Linked DNA regions of Neodiprion lecontei. The protein of the gene in region 3 interacts with the protein of the main gene of each other region in a pairwise test. Links are inferred from orthologs where the notes say so. Each region holds a gene or a part of one and is shown on either strand. Other genes may lie near its edges.

Region 1 (4,634 bases), on a different chromosome or scaffold from region 3:
ATGCGATCCGGAAAAAGGAAGTTTCAGTCGGACCAAAGTTAAAGCGGTTTTTGATAATCTCTTTGCTATTTTTTTTTTTTTTTTTTGAATCAATTTTTCAAAACAAATCTACGCCGCATATTGTTAGATGCACCCATCGAAAATAAACAATAACAACAGTTTGTATCGATCTGCGGTTGAAAATTTTTTTGCTAACTATGCTGGTATTACAGAAAGCATACTGACCATATCCTCACACGTGTCGGTAAATAGATTTTTGTTCCTTCTATCACCACAAATTCCTCACAAGGTTGGCTCTCTCATCTAAGTTTATATCTCTGGGATAGTACTGCACTCTACACATAGAATTATAAAGATAGACTAAGCGCTCCTGTACGAGGCACTGACAATTACATATAAAGGACAGAGATATACCGGGAGGACTGCTCTTTCTTTTCAATCGGCGTCATGGTGGGAGACAACGGAACAGTGGAAGTGGAACAGCTATAGATACAGGCGCATAATTTCACCTCATCCCCTCTACCGCCTCGATCCGCGCCACAAATATCGTCAGGGAGAGAAAAGGAGTACTCCCGGCATATTTCTGTCCTTTAAATGTTTGATTCAAGCAGCTCATAAGAGCGCTCAGTCTATCTTTATAAGTCTATGACTTTACACGGCGGCTGCACCGAAAACCTTCAATGCCAGCCAATACTAGAACGTTGACTGAAAATCACTGATCTCTACTATAGGCAGAGATCAGTGCTGAAAATATCCTCAGTCAACGCTTCGTGATAATATTGTATAGGGGCAAGACCGTGGTCGCGGCCAATTCGTAGTAGACTGGTAATGCCACCGCCATCTTATATTTTGTTACATTTCACAACTACCAGTTGATTCATGGCGTTCGCTCTTATAGCTTTGATATAAAGTGGTTTAAAGTGTTTGTAAGCAAATATGTCCAGAAAAGCAAACTGCTATGTATTAAATTGTTCTACCGTAACATCTGTACGGCATAGGTTTCCAAAAAATGTAAGAGATGTATTTCTTACATGGAAACATCGTGCTCAACACCCGAGTTTTAGCGAACTTAGCGCAAACATATTATGTGTAAGACATCAAATATAAACTAGTCTAATTGAATCATCTATTTAATCACCCACCTTTTAGTAATAATTTTATAATACGTGAAAAAGTATTCCTTACTCTAAATTCGATTTTGCCGCTACCAATTCCCTATTAGTCTCGTTAGTACCGATTGCAACCATGGCAAGGTGAGTGGCGCTGCCTACAGGAAAACTTGTCCCCCACCTCGGAGGACTGCAGATACGCTTCTATAGTTCTATTTAGAATTGTGGTTCCAGCGTAAGTAGTTTATTTTCCACTATTTACAATTGTTCGCGTTAAGTGGTTCAAATAATGAGTGTATATGTTAGTTTAACGCGTAATTTTGAAGCACAGAATTTACGAAGAATAGCCAATAAATACTTTTGCTGATATTGATTAAAAAATTCAAAATGTGATTGTTCTGATTATGGTGAACTATTCTAACCTGCAAGATAGGCGCAAAGCCTGACTTAACCCGTATGTGTTCAGAATCTGAAACCCATTAGCCTTCGGTAATCATGTTTCGCAAGTGAATCGCATTCAAATATATTTTGAAAATATTCTCAAACAGTCCGAAATCTTTAACTAAGTATTAAAGGGCAGTCAGTCAAACTTTGATAAGTGTAATTTCGTTCAAAGTTTTCTTGAATGAACACAAAGAAAATATCTTTATAAACTTATATAGACATTCAAAATGCCGTGCTGGTACTACGAGAAAAAAGAGCTCCGCAATACACCATCGATTCAGGATGGTATCGACTACGAGACAGAGTGTCGATACCGCAAGGAAGGCGCTAGGTTCATTATTGACACTGGAACGAAGATGGACCTTGGATATAACACTATGGCGACCGGTGTTGTGTACTTTCACAGATTCTACATGTTTCACTCGTTTAAGAATTTTCCTAGATATGTAAGTGCATATTCAAACTGCTTTAGATTTAGATTTACTCTATGCACAGATTCATATTTAATTCTTCATTATCTTACACAGGTCACAGCCTGTTGTTGCTTATTTCTTGCCGGAAAGGTTGAAGAAACACCTAAAAAATGCAAAGACATTATAAAAACTGCTAAGACGTTACTTAGCGATCAAAAGTTTCTGACTTTTGGAGAAGATCCAAAGGTGCGTGATTTTCAAGCCTTGAATTGATTTGTAGATGGCAATTTATTCAATTTGTTATTTTGAAACTTTACCAACATTTATTTTTATTGTATTTGCAGGAGGAAGTGATGACACTGGAAAGGATTCTTTTACAAACAATTAAATTCGACTTGCAAGTCGAACACCCGTATAGCTACCTATTGAAATATGCAAAGTGTCTGAAAGGCACGTGTTTTCTACATGCGATATCGATATAAAATTTTTATCGCTATCTAATCACAGCTATTATTCTTCTCGACTTTTCAGGTGATAAGAACAAACTACAAAAAATGGTGCAAATGGCGTGGACGTTTGTAAATGACAGGTGTAACTTCAACAATTTTCACTTTAATTTTTCCTGAAAACTTTCATATTAATTGATTATTTAGCTTTAACATATTTTCTTGCACTTTACCGTTACAGCCTCTGTACTACACTCTCCTTGCAATGGGAACCGGAAATCATAGCCGTTGCTCTCATGTACCTTGCTGGTAAATTGAGCAAATTCGAAGTTGTCGACTGGAACGGAAGGCTCCCGAAGCATCTCAGATGGTGGGACATGTTCGTCGAAGACGTGACCATGGATTTACTTGAAGGTTCGAAGATGATTGTAGTATAGGTCTATAACTGCAAACATCCATAACATAACAACTGTTACAGGCTCCAACATGTTTGCTTAAAATCAATCTTGTCAATTACAGATATTTGCCATCAAGTTTTAGACCTATACTCGCAAGCAAACAATGCGAAGGCACCGGATTCTCCGCCGCTTGTGTCGACTCATGAAGGAAATAGAGAATGGGCCACAATACCCACTGCTAACGACGTTGCCGCTAGTGCTCCAGGTATATCCTAACATATTTTATCATTCAATTATAATTTTCGAACAAACCGAATATTAAATCTTACACGGCAAAGCTATTGTTCAATACTATTTCAAATGAAAGAAAATTTGTCAAACGTTTGTTAATAATTATCTTATTTACAGCAACACCGAATAAAATTTCAAAAATTGAAGTTACCTCCAGTACCGTAAACGGCTCCTCAAACGCGGATGCTACCGATGGTTCAAAGCCAGTTGAAATACCGGCTCACTTTCCTCCGTACCCCGCTACTTTTACACCATCTTCGACGGCCTATCCCCCTGTATTCCCGCCGACAAATATTTCCGTTCCACCGCCGTCCGTCACGACGATTAATCACATCGTTTCGGCTATGCATCCCTTCAATTCATCAGGTGCAATTCGACCGTCAGCACCAGCTCTCGCTCCACCCACGTTCCAACCCTTTCCATACCCTGCAGCGACAACATATTTTCAACCTGGGAACCCAGCACCACCATCTACGACACAGAGAGCTTATTACCCGCCCTAACAGACCGACGATTCCTAGGTTTACGATGTAGAATTACGGTTAGGTTTATGCAAATTGTGAACTTTGTACCGGAATCCCATGTTGATGTTGTTATGTACTCGTTTTCCGGTCATGCATGAAATTCATTTTGTAAAAAATTGCTAGCAATTTATTATTGATTCATAAATCAATATCTAGGTAAAAAGAATATACTAAATGATATCATAGATGAAGAAAAGCGTGGCATTAAGCAAGCGATATTGCTAAATTTAAGCAATAGTGACAGGTACGAAAAACCGTCTCTCCTACTACAGTCGACCATTATCTCTTATCAATAGTAGTTTCATTTCTTTACAATAGATCAAATACATTTGATTTTCAATCGCTTCGGATACAGCTGTATGGAAATTTTTTATAAATACTATAAATCAGTAAATTACAATTAAATACATATGTAAAATAATCGCCAAGGTGTTGATCATTTTCACAAAGTGTACAATATCATATTAAAAATTCAGGAATATCAATTGCTATTATTGATAATAAAAGTGAGATATGTACCAACAAAATATTGACATGTCAACAATCTCTAACTTCAATCCAATCTCAAGATGTCCCGCTTCTGAGAGTCCAAGCAAGTATAAAATTATTCGAATCACAAGAAAATGAGGTACGGAAATAATAATTTTTATTACAAAGTTTATCAAAGAAGGCACAAACGACATTATGATCTACATGTACAAATTACCTCTGCTGCTAAAACTACTCTGCTTGAAGACTGGATCGTGTAATAGACTACCTGGAATGGCAGCAAACAATTTCACCAAGGGCATAGCTGTCTCCGAATCGAGTAGAAACTCTTCCACGTAAAGTACGTACAGCACAGCAGAGAGTTCGAATATTTCAGCATACGACATTACTGGAATGTGAATAATTTTATCGGTTGAGGAAAATGAATTTTCCCACACGGAACTGATGGCAAAAAACGGTTGGCCATTTAAGATATAATATTACAAATACAAACCTCCAGCTGCAATTCCATGAACTATAT
Region 2 (4,610 bases), on a different chromosome or scaffold from region 3:
TCTTGAAGTAAAATGCGTATTTTTTTTTTATGTAACTAACTTCTTACAGAAATGCAATTACATTTCACTGATTCTTTACTCCGAAAATAAAAGGCTCACCTATTGCTAAATCCACAAGTAACTAGATAATTTCCTTGTACATCAAAATCGCTCAGGGAGCCACTGTGGGTGTCTAAAGTGTGTTCTATCGACAGAGTATTTGGATCCCGAAGGTCTATTCTCCCAGCAGGATTGCCTGCGCATATAAGACGGCTGTGCTGTCTCAATATTGCACAACCGTGATCGCCGACGTGTACCTAAAAACCAAAGTGTAGTTTCGCGTTATTCAATTTTTCTACCGAAGTAAGAGACATAGTCAATATCGGATAGTTTTAAAGCTTCACACGCTACGAAAATGCATACTTGTCGAGTATAAAGCCACTATGCCTATTAAACGTCTGACAAAAATTTCCTTACCAGGCCAGTTTCTTTCCCTCTGGTGAGATTGAAATCAATAATTTTTTTTTGATGACCTCCCATAAGTAGTCTCGCAGGTGATGTTTGAAGCATGCATTGCATGTCTATCATGTTTGAGGACCTGTTATACGATTACATTTCGAATGAAAAATGTGATCAGACTGAAGAATGCCGAAATGCTGCTCAAAGGATTGTAGTAAAGTAAACGTACGTGTGAGTAAATATCGGTATGCCACGCCGTAGCTGACAACGAAGCATACTTTGCGTGAGCACAAGGATTCCTTCGTCAATCGGATGGATATGTCGGACTTCTTGTGAGGCATGCACTTGAAACGACGTGTATTTCTGGAGGCCAGGCCCATAGTAAGACGTCACGTGACCCTTGATAAGTAATTGAAAATACATGTTAATATTATTTTTCTCTTCATGGAAATTCAATCGGATATTGGTGTAAGATCTGCGTTTTATTGCGGCAGAATAGATTGGTTCAGACTGATTTGTACCCCTTGATTTCCCATCCACATGAGTTCTTCGGCATTGTCAAAGGTGAGGGTGGAAACACCGAATCTATCACCTCCATCGGCCAATAAGGTTCTAGTCTCTTGGAATTCCGCACCTGCAAATTCCTCGCCAAACTGTTCTGCCGCAGGCACAAACCCCTCGCTTGATAAGTCATAGTTTGATTCTTCCCCTGCAATTTCAGTTTACAGTTATTGGCAAAGATCAAAATAGAGGAAATTCTTCTAAATTTTATTAAGTAACAAGATGATTCTAAATGAAAGTAATGAATCTGATTCATCATTGTTTGTTAACAATAATTCTAGCCATCAGTGAAATTCTTTATCTGTGGTTTAATGTTGTGGTAAGAATTATCCTGTAAAGATAAGTGAACCTCAAAGCGAATGGTATTGTCATTTTTAACTTACTAACGATCAAAAAATCCTTTCTCTTTAATGGAAAAAAACACACTGTAAAACGGCATGCAGTAATTTACATAAATCACTCTCACAAAAGAACAAAGAATAAAAAATACAGAAATTGAACGGAAGAGATATCGTGCAGTACGCTTTTACGTCTACGATACTTGTTACAATAAGGGAATTGTTATCTTTGTAATACGTGTATATTATATGCATGCAATTAATTGAAATTTATAACAGTCAATACCAGGGCCTATTACAATACAGTATCTAAACCGAGAAATGTCTCTCAAATGTAAGTTGTACAAGCTGGTCAATTAAGCGCTAGATCTTAACATCGAATAAGATAATGAATAACAGTGAAAAGTTCCAAGGCTGAAGTTAGTAACGTTACTGTATCGGAAAGTTGAAACAAAAAATAACTGTTTTGTATCTTTAGAATGACTGTAGAAGTTGAATTTACGAAATCTGAGTTTGTTCATGCTTTACTAACAGTTACTTGAATTTCTAATCCTCTAAAGTTGAAAAATAACAAGGTTTTCTGAAGATGCATAATTACAATACCGTTACAAACTTCAGTCTGATGAAAAGATACGTTACAGATTCAAATTTCGAAATCAAACGGTCCAAAACCAAATTTTCGAAATATGATTGCACCAATAAGATGGGAGCAAGAGAAAACGCAATTTACTCTAAGAATTAAAGGTACAGTTTATTCATTGACATAATTGCTCCAGCTAGACTGCATTTTGAGGTTATTGTGAGATACTGAGATGGTCAGATGGTCGAACATCCGGGGGTAGAAAAAAGAAAGCCGGAGCGCGTACGTGACACAGTCAAAGCTGAGTGAAGTTAGCGAATAAAACAAATGAATAGCTGATCAGGTGACCGCTGTCATCGCTTCGTCGAGTGAGGAAAATTTCAACCTCGGTATAAATGTAGAAAAATTTGGTATCTTGTCTCTAATTTGTGGAGTGGAGTGGATGTAACGGAGAGCGGCATGCTGAGGCTAATTGGGTGATAGAAATCGGGGAAGCGGAGAGTGGATGTTGTCGTTGGAATCGTGCGTGCGGATCTACGTCTGTCAAAACAACGCGTCATTGGCGCGTAACTCACAGATCAGCTCCTGGTCGCCCGCCACGACCTCAACGGAAGGATCGTAGTGGCCAAGAACCGAATAGTCCATTATAGCGATCCTCGGTTCGGCCGCGTTCTAGGTTCTATCATGGGGATATCTCCCCGTTTGGCAAGCGTGTTCGTCGCAATGGCTAACGAATCAGTAGCACATTTCGGTGTTGACGGTGCACGCACTTAAATATATTCAATAGACCACCATCGGTGGTCAGTCGCCTTGGCAACTGTGCAACAAACGAGCGACCTACTTCCGGTAATAATTTCTAAACGAGAATAGTTAAAATACGGTACTGATCATGGTCTTGCTTACAGTTTATCCACGACATTGCACATCTTTCGTTTGTTTTTGACCTCGTTAGCGCACGTCACTCTCATTTATTTAACAATCTCTTTTCTCCTACTTCGGACCACTTTACGCGCGACGTTTGTTTCCCTCTTCACCGTTGGTTCTTCTCGTTCAGCTTCATCGCTACAAACACCTTTTCTGCGCCTTCATTTCACCTACAGAAACACCAACGGCAACGCCAACCGACTTCAGGCAGTTCAGCCTTGTACGTGGCGTCACCTAGCTTCGACTTCTCGACTCACGCGCGATCGAACTGCGCCTGCGTCGGTTGGATTTCTTATTTACTTCGGTGCTTCAAGTTGTCGATGTTTGTTCAGCACGCGTCGAGGGACAATATTTACTTTCATATGTAGCCACGGGACGATAGGTAAATAACAGAAAGTAGATCTTACGCGAAAATATATTACGCGTACTTCCTCATACGATTCTCATCGTCTGTTATAAGCAGGCCCACGTACTTATTTCACGTAGCTTTGCTTCTTAAGCGTTTCTTTGCTCCTAAACATCTGCAACGCGAGCAACAACGTGTAGCGCCTAACGTCAGGTTGTACAGAAGGAGACCTTGTTTTGTTTCAAGCTGATGCATGAAATCGCTGTCGTTATTTCGTCAAAACACACACTCATAAATGGTCTTGACTAGTCGCCGTTAGATCAACAATGGAAACCGAAAAATCTCGTTCTGATGTGAGTAGAATAAATCGTAAGGTGATTGTTTGTATTTAAGGAAAATCTTGTCTTTTAGAACGGGTACAACCAGTTGCTTTCGGGAATGAAAAAAAAACATGTATCTATACAGCTCAATACAAACAATTGTTATCTTGCATTTCACGATTATTGGATAATTAGAGTCTTCTTTAATTCCGTGCTTGATAAAATACATTCATGTAATATATTATTCGTTTATGAGCATGTATACATTTAAGAAAATTACAGTTGGAAACATTTGATCATATTGAAGTTGGTAACGTTATCGTATGGGTTCATGATGAGAAAAAACGGTTATTTAGCGATATTGAAGTTGTCTGCAATTCATCGAACCGTAATAAAACAAAACATTCTCAAATTTCGACATCTTAGTTCCTTCAAAATAACTCTAAAATAAGGAAAATTGTGATGCTTCCCTAATGTTTTGTTACGATAACATTACTAACTTCAACCTCGTAATATTTGCTGGCTGTAGTCACCAGGGCATTCGGACTGCATCACATTGACTTTTCGTTGTGATTACAACAATATACGTACGCACAATGGTTAGAGCATAGTGTCGCAGGTTGCGTAAAAAGCGTTTTGGACATTTGCATGTGCAGAAGAATCGTTACTAGTACCTGCATTGGTGAAATTCATCATCGTTATAACCGTGAAATAGCTTCGTACATACGTCGAGTTAGAGTATACTTCTATGTAGAAATATAATATGTCTACAGATATTTTTATATTATACAGTAAATATCGAGTGTTGGAAACTTAGAGTACTCATAAAATACATTTTCACATCGATATAATATATACTACATTACTCATTACAGATTCGAGATTTGGTCACTCTCTCCATCTGTATCTGGACCTCATCAGTATCACTCTTTGCGAGATCCTCTTTTCATCCGGATTTCGAACACAGGCCTGTTCGTATTCAAAATCTCTTGGGACTGACCATCTTCGCTATAATACGAGTATACCATTCCCGTATCAGCTGCCAACTCCTACAGTCGAGTGAGTAATAAACTTATTTGTGGATAGTTCGCTTTAAAGGCAAG
Region 3 (7,298 bases):
CTTGTGCTATTACCAAATACAAATTTTTTACCTTCGTCGGATCCATATCCTCCAAAAGGTTCAGGATCCTGTCCAGCAGGCCGTCTTCCTGCATTTTGTTGGTATACTCCGTAATTTGCTTGGTAAGCGTAACGGGTGTGTCGAGAACCCAAGTATGACCATTTCTGGCTTGAACCAAAGTCCTCAATGTTGAGGTGAGAGCTTTCTTCCCGTCATAGTACAGAAGGACAGCAGTTAGGCCTCGTGTCAATCCAGGATGATGCGGCATTTGAAGTTGAGCAGTACAGAGTAAGTCAAGAGCCATAAATTCATTTAGTTCGTACATGTCGGATAATATAATTGTCTCGTCAACCAATTCTTTGGACAAAACCTGGTGACCTAGTCCAGGCAGAGTTATACCCTCCGTCACTGCATTTTTAATTTCCTCACGACTCTTTGCATTCTTTGCCTAGAATGAGGATATGATAAACTTAGCACATGGCAATCAAGGTCTCCAAGTCGCAGCTACTACATGTTGAAATATTATGCTTACAGGATTGCTTAGGAGATTTAGAAAATTCTGTCGGTGATTGCGAAGCGCTTCCATAAATTCATGGTATTGTGGATCGTGGGAACTGGGTGCAGAGGTAATATATTGATCGACGAGACTCTGGAGTTCCTTGTAAGGAGTCCACATGTCCTCCGTACTTGTCTTTTCTGTAATAGTAAATGGTGTCGATGTGACAAAACTTAACCTAGGAAAATTCAAATTCACGCTAAAACGAATTATCAACCGAAACGTGAATTGTATCACTGAACAAGCATACAAAATATGAAGGTAAATACAACCACGTATTTTGACAGACAATTGATCATAAACGTTGTTGCATTTGTACCGGTGATGAAGTTGGGTAAAACTAGGTTATGTCACGTTACAACCGGGAGAAGAGTTCCAGTAATTAATGTAGAATAAGTTAGACGCATACGCAGACCTACCTTCAGTCATCCTTGCGCTATTTAAACTAAACTCAGAAGGTCAAATTCAACAATCACTGAAGAAAGAGACAAACACTCATTCGTGAATTGGCGGTTGGCGCTGATTTGTAAAACCGCGTGAACATGGCTGCGTTCATGATACATGGTCGCGAGCGAGCAGTGGTCGCCAACTTAAAAAAGGTAAATAATTGATCAATGCCACCCACTTAAAAAAAAAAGAACCTTCTTCATCAATGGAACTCGGTTGGGTCCAAGCGTCATTGGATTTCACCACTACGTTACTCAATCCGATCGCTAAATGCAGTTTGGATCAAATTTATAACAAAAAAATGCGCCAAACTTCAACCAAATATATATTTGTAGCGCTTTTTTGATTTATGTTGCTATTTTCGTTGGCCACTCGACGAAAAAACGTCATTACTCGATGTGTTCCGAGACTCGTCAATGCGAATAATAGGCGATAAATGCAACGATTTATCAGCTCCACGCAATCAAAAACGATGATTCGTTCGATTTTAAATTTCCAAAATGAAAAATAACGATCGACAAGCTCGTGGTTGAATATAAAATTTGATAAAAGATACCGGAAATGGCCGAGGTCTAAATTGTATTTCGAAAAATAAAGTATATACGTATGCGAAGCACGACTTCCGGAAGGACAGCTGCGATCGAAGTAAGAGCAGCAAGTTGTCCGTGAGTGTAGACAAGTGTAGCATAAAAACACAGTGAGATCGGTATCACGGAGTACGCTTTCACCTTTGTCTGCGGGAAGGAAAAATGTTTTGAACGGTCAGTACTAAAGTATATTAATCTAAGCTTGAAAGAATCTCATTTATTTGTTTTTTTTAATAACCCAAACGCCGTCCGTCGCAAAGCGTCTGGAGCGTCTGTTTTATTTTCGCGCCGTCCTCAGACGCGACGTCACTGACAACTCGGATGGGTTATGTTGGTCCACCATATCTTCGATGTTTTTATAGACTTCGGTTCTACATTTTGGAAAAAATTTTCGCCTCGCGTCGCGTTTTTGAGGTGCTCAGTTATGTTTAAACTTTTACAATTTTTTTTCGTAAAAAGACGAACTTTTTTTTAACGTTGTTGAAAACCAAAATTAACCACTTTTGTCGCGATTCTGTGTGTGCATTGTCAAAATCAGCTGCTTCATTGTTAGTTTATTACTACATTGTTCGAATCAAATCCTGCTGCATTTTCTTGACCCCCCTCAATTTTTAGAGGCAACAAGTATATCACACACTTGTGTACATATTCTCCATGTTGTTGTCTCTAGTCTGATATAGCGAAGGCTAGAATTACACACTAGGTTCAAAAGTTCTGTGATTTATATTCTTTTTTCTTACTTTTCCTTAACTTCAATAGAATACAAATTCCATTTATTAATGCTTTTTCTACCCTGAACGATATTCTATTTTCAGGAAAACCATCAACTTTCACTGTTGCCTTATGTTAAATTCAAGCATCGATGTTTTCGATAACACAGGTTCTACTACTGTACCTTTAATCGTCTCACCTTTACGCGCAACAATTACTGAATATAAAACAAATTTGCATGTTTTTATATTTCTCTTTCTGCACCGTTCTGAACAGATTCGTTTGGTTTTTTTTATTCAACGATTAATTAAGTCACAAAGTAGACAAACTTGTTCTAATGATCACCGTTCATTTTCAGGGTTTACAAGTCGAACATATTGGAAAAAAATAGAAGCAGCACTGTTAAAGAATAAAAAAATAAAAAATAAAAAAAAAGAACAAAAAAAAAACGAAAAGAGAAACTTGAAATTATCCTGAGAAATTTTAGAAAAATGGAGTAAAAGAAAGACTGGATATGAGATTAAATAACTTAGGTGATAATAAACAGAAGCAATTTTCCAGTGTGTTAAATGAAGCGAAAGATATTCTTCGACGCAGCTTCAATTGTCTAGAGACGAAGTTGCCTGCCTACGCGAGGTGAAAATGCGACGTCCGTCGAAAGGCAGTAAAACCGTGTCGATAAAGAACTTTGTTAGTAAAATTTTGAGGAGAAAGAAAGAAAAAAAAGAATATTAAAATTATCATTGAATACAAACAAGCTAGTGTAATTTATGCAACTTGTTAAAATATGGAGGAAATGCTATTCGGCAATGATTTTAAAATGTTGAGATTCTTTCCAGCATAGGCAGGCTAGCTTAACGTTGGAAGTCTTGGAAATTCTCTCTCTAGTGACAACGGAAGATAAAGAAAGAAAGAACAGCTCTGGCAGCTGCGAAATTTTTAACAACGAGGACTTCAAAAGCACGAAGGCGGGAGGATCGAAAAATCTAACGGAAAACGGAACGGTGGTCAATGCGGTGGATGGAAGAGAGATGGATCCGTCAATGTTTGTCACTTACACCCCTCAAACAAATGGAGTCCCACAGGAGTCCAAACTTGCAACCTACATGGTAACAAACAGATTTCATTATTTTCGTATAAAAATGAGGAGTCGCACTCGCAAACTAAAATTAAGAAGGTCTAGTTAATTTTCACCTTGAACTCTGAAAAGATAACATCCTAAATTGTAACATAGTGCTAATCGATCAAGATTTTCCGTTAATTGTACTGTTTTTCCATTGATTTTTACACAGTAATTTTGCCTTTAGAAAATATTTATAACATCGAGTTATAGGTAATAATTTTCACACTTAATAATCGTGACGTTTTATGAATCTAGAACTGCCAAAGCTCTGGAGTTGCCCTAAACACAGCTGTAGTGACAAAACATCTCTCCGGCCTTTCACTGGATGCACAAAAAAAAACTACTACCAGTCCGGAATTTGTGCCGGGACGAGGAATTGCAGGTAGCAATAGTAGCTCGCCAAATATATTCAACAGCTCCTATCATTCCCAGGAGAATGTCGGAGGAACAACTTATTTCTACCTCGGGACGTCGACAACGGAAAATGTGTCAAGCGAAGAAGGAGTCGAAGCTGTAAGTTCACCAGACAGAGATTTGAATTTCGCCTCCTTAGGATAAATTTTAACTCACGTAAACGAGAATCAACCACTAATGAGGCGAAAAAGTTTGTATTTAGTAACCGTAGTATATTTTGAAACTTTTGTGTTCCGGTAAAGCGACTACACAGAAATCGTAACGAGAAGTATTTCTTCTAGATTGGAACCGCTGGCGCAAGTCAGATAGGATACGTTTATCCAGGGACCCCCTCTCACCTGCAGACTGCCAAAGCAGCAAAATCTCCCGCATCGAGTAGTCCCTCGGCTCCTTCGACGCCCCCTCCACAGGCCGTTCCGAGTTTTTTTGTCAGCGAAGGCCTGCGACTGGACATTCTCCAAAAAAATGCACTAACGTTAGCTCAGCCAGACCCGGTGCAGTTTCCAGATTTGCCAAACGAAGTAGATAACTACCATGAATTATGCCCTCTCGAACCCATCCATAAATCCACATCGACTGTCCTCGGCTATCAAACCTCCACGTACAAAGCGACCAGTTTAAAAACCGGGACTCGCTATTGCCTGCGCCGAGTACACGGTGAGTCGTGAAGCATATTTATTGCTCTGGTTGGATGGTAAGCGTTATTGTACACGAGCAATCTTACTGTAACTGAGAATTATTCATTTCAGACTTTAGACTTGCCAATACAAAATGTATGGTCTTGGTCGATATGTGGAAGCGGTTGACGCACACTAATTTGGTCCAACTGCGAGAAGTCTTCACCACCAAGACCTTTGGTGATCATTGTATGTACCCAAATATTTTTCTCCCAGCTTTTTCATATTAATCTTTTTTCATTTCACTAAATTAGGACTATTTCAGCCATGGTATTCGTCTATGACTACCACCCTGGGTCCGAGACGCTCTTGAACAAACACTTCTCTGCTACCGAGCTCAACGGCTACTCAGATCCGTTTTCGTCCGACCCCAACGCTCCCCGTCCTTACAGCCACACAAAGAACACCATATTGAGACAACAGCACAGCAGTATGCTGCCAGAAAGCGTTATTTGGAACTACATTATACAGCTGACAGCTGCTCTCCGGGTTATTCACGCAGCTGGTAAGTGATTATTTCATTTTTTGAACATTATTCAGACTTATAGTAACAGTGAGCAGATTTCATATGGCTCTACAATCGCAAAGTTACAATAGAAAGAAGTAAATTGCGAATAAATTCGAAGTTTTTATTATATTATCGTTAGTTTAAAAATTTTCTTCAGGTATTGCGTGTAGATCTCTGGACCCTACAAAGATAATTCTCTCGTCACGAAGTCGGCTGCGTCTCAGCTGCGTCGCGATTCCCGACGTTGTGACGTTTGACGGTACAGCTGCGAATCCGTTGGCACTAATGCCGCATTATCAACAAGAAGACTTGCTCGCATTAGGAAAACTTGTGCTAGCTTTGGCTTGCCGTAGTCTCCTAGCGGTGCATCGTGACAACATGCAGGCCTCCCTGGAACTGGTCGCTCGCACCTACTCGTCTGATCTCAGAAACCTTATATTGTACGTATTTATATTCCATTCTGACATTTTTGCCTATTCTCTTGACCTGAATACGTTTTGTCTAACTTTATTGAGTAGTTTACTCTCGCTCCAGTTACGATAAAGAAATTCGTCATTTCAGGTACCTGCTATCTTCTCAGCAGCGGAGAAGCGTCACTGATTTAATGCCAATGATTGGAGCTCGGTTTTATACTCAACTCGACGCCGTCCATCTTCGTTCAGACGTTCTGGAAGATGAACTTGCCAAAGAGCTAGAAAACGGCAGACTGTTCAGACTACTCGCAAAACTGGCGACCATCAACGAACGGCCAGAGCTGAACATGGAGCCAACGTGGGCTGAAACCGGCGATCGTTACATGCTGAAACTGTTCAGAGACTACGTGTTCCACCAAGTAGCGGCGGATGGAAGACCGTGGTTGGACATGGCCCACGTTGTATCTTGTCTGAACAAACTCGACTCTGGATCTCACGACAAGGTGAGTATTTAGATTCGAGTGATTAGAGTGTTAGATTCAGAAATAGATAAACGGTTGGCATTGCGAAGAAATTTCAAACATTGATCAATACGTCACTTCAATCGATCCTCGATATTTCCTGTTTAGATTTGCCTGATGTCGCGGGATGAGCAAAGCGTGTTGGTCGTTAGTTACGCCGAGTTGCGACAGTGTTTGGAAATGTCATACGCCGAGGTTGTGCATTCTGCGAAGCTGGACGCCGCCTAGGCAATAAAAAAAGCATTGAGTCCAACAGCGGCACAACAGCATATACTCCGAACCATCATTGTGATATCAACAGTTAGCGCTACTACAATTTCTACATTACTCAGGATCGAGGATGATCCAGAGTTGTGGACATGGATTTGGAAGTTCCGGACAAGTCGAAGCGGATGGTGACGCGTGGAGTGAGCTTTTTGATGTGTTTTTGAGATTAAAAACGAAATAAGAAAATAACAATATAAGGAAAGGGATGAAGGAATAAAAGGAGGTGGAGACGACGAAGAATAACGGCCCAAAGGAACGCATCGATTGATGATGCGTTAATTTGAATATAAAATAGGTACAGAAGAAAATCATTAAATGATGTAAAAATCGAAATAATAGTACATATTTCAACATTCAATGAAATCCGCTATGTTGCTACATATACGTATGTACACACAAACACACAGAACTTAATCATGCGCTAAAATCTTAAAATGATACTACTACAACCTAATACACGGAGGCTCAACACAGCCTGTGTATAGGATAGAGATCATAGGTTTTAGGATACAGCTGGTAAGCATTAATTTTGAAATAAATGTTTATTTTTGAAAGCAATCTTAAACGCACGTCTTGTTACTTTTTTCGCAAGTTTTCATTGTTCGAACAATGTCCATGTTTCCATCGTAGGGTCAGAGTCGGGCTAGGTTCAAATTACAGTCGAAAAGAAACGAGATTTGAGAGAAAGAAAATAATTTCCCACATCCGAAATCTCGTTTTTCATTAGCTGTAATTTGAGCCTAACCCGATTCCGACCCTACCATGGGAACATGGTGAATAAATTATCCCCCTCCCCTCGTTTTGAGCCGATAACAACTACGATCTGCAATATCGATTGCCGGTAAGAATGGAATCACGTCGGAGCGGGGCGGTTGGATATTAATCATTTGAATACTCCTCCGGCAGCCCGGTGACAGCGAATTATTGTCTCCTCAGTTACTTCCGCCGCCTTGTTCTCCTCTATATCTATGTATGTACGTAATAAAATACGTACATACGTACAACGTACGCGTGCATAAATAGGTAGATGTAACGTTGTAGCCGCATGTAGTGCATTACCTCCCTCCCACCCTT

What was found.
Region 1: the proteins of PAN2-PAN3 deadenylation complex subunit PAN3 (region 3) and cyclin-K interact in a two-hybrid assay, tested with the Drosophila melanogaster proteins (3 studies listed by BioGRID). The link is inferred for Neodiprion lecontei from reciprocal best matches to the Drosophila melanogaster genes PAN3 and CycK.
Region 2: the proteins of PAN2-PAN3 deadenylation complex subunit PAN3 (region 3) and PAN2-PAN3 deadenylation complex catalytic subunit PAN2 interact in binary tests that used the Drosophila melanogaster proteins (3 or more experiments, as listed by UniProt). The link is inferred for Neodiprion lecontei from reciprocal best matches to the Drosophila melanogaster genes PAN3 and PAN2.

Annotation. Positions count from the first base shown.
Region 1 is NC_060264.1:32,146,062-32,150,695, forward strand, and holds cyclin-K, read left to right. Parts: upstream 1-1,780; coding exon 1,781-1,999; intron 2,000-2,080; coding exon 2,081-2,212; intron 2,213-2,310; coding exon 2,311-2,416; intron 2,417-2,497; coding exon 2,498-2,555; intron 2,556-2,653; coding exon 2,654-2,826; coding exon of another isoform or gene 2,827-2,857; intron 2,858-2,931; coding exon 2,932-3,075; intron 3,076-3,218; coding exon 3,219-3,604; 3' UTR 3,605-4,110; downstream 4,111-4,634. Other genes in the region: uncharacterized protein LOC107217142, read right to left, coding at 2,817-2,857, 4,332-4,502, 4,608-4,634.
Region 2 is NC_060263.1:1,323,208-1,327,817, forward strand, and holds the start of PAN2-PAN3 deadenylation complex catalytic subunit PAN2, read right to left. Parts: upstream 3,025-4,610; 5' UTR 2,837-3,024; coding exon of another isoform or gene 2,821-2,836; 5' UTR 2,563-2,820; coding exon 2,493-2,562; intron 1,148-2,492; coding exon 960-1,147; intron 838-959; coding exon 668-837; intron 578-667; coding exon 457-577; intron 297-456; coding exon 100-296; intron 1-99. UniProt on the Drosophila melanogaster protein: Catalytic subunit of the poly(A)-nuclease (PAN) deadenylation complex, one of two cytoplasmic mRNA deadenylases involved in general and miRNA-mediated mRNA turnover.
Region 3 is NC_060261.1:2,744,321-2,751,618, reverse strand, and holds PAN2-PAN3 deadenylation complex subunit PAN3, read left to right. Parts: upstream 1-1,806; 5' UTR 1,807-1,911; coding exon 1,912-2,004; intron 2,005-2,659; exon of another isoform or gene 2,660-2,943; coding exon of another isoform or gene 2,944-2,991; intron 2,992-3,140; coding exon 3,141-3,410; intron 3,411-3,679; coding exon 3,680-3,937; intron 3,938-4,119; coding exon 4,120-4,495; intron 4,496-4,587; coding exon 4,588-4,704; intron 4,705-4,780; coding exon 4,781-5,020; intron 5,021-5,180; coding exon 5,181-5,463; intron 5,464-5,584; coding exon 5,585-5,939; intron 5,940-6,065; coding exon 6,066-6,185; 3' UTR 6,186-6,789; downstream 6,790-7,298. Other genes in the region: nuclear pore complex protein Nup205, read right to left, coding at 32-448, 533-696, 976-985. UniProt on the Drosophila melanogaster protein: Regulatory subunit of the poly(A)-nuclease (PAN) deadenylation complex, one of two cytoplasmic mRNA deadenylases involved in general and miRNA-mediated mRNA turnover.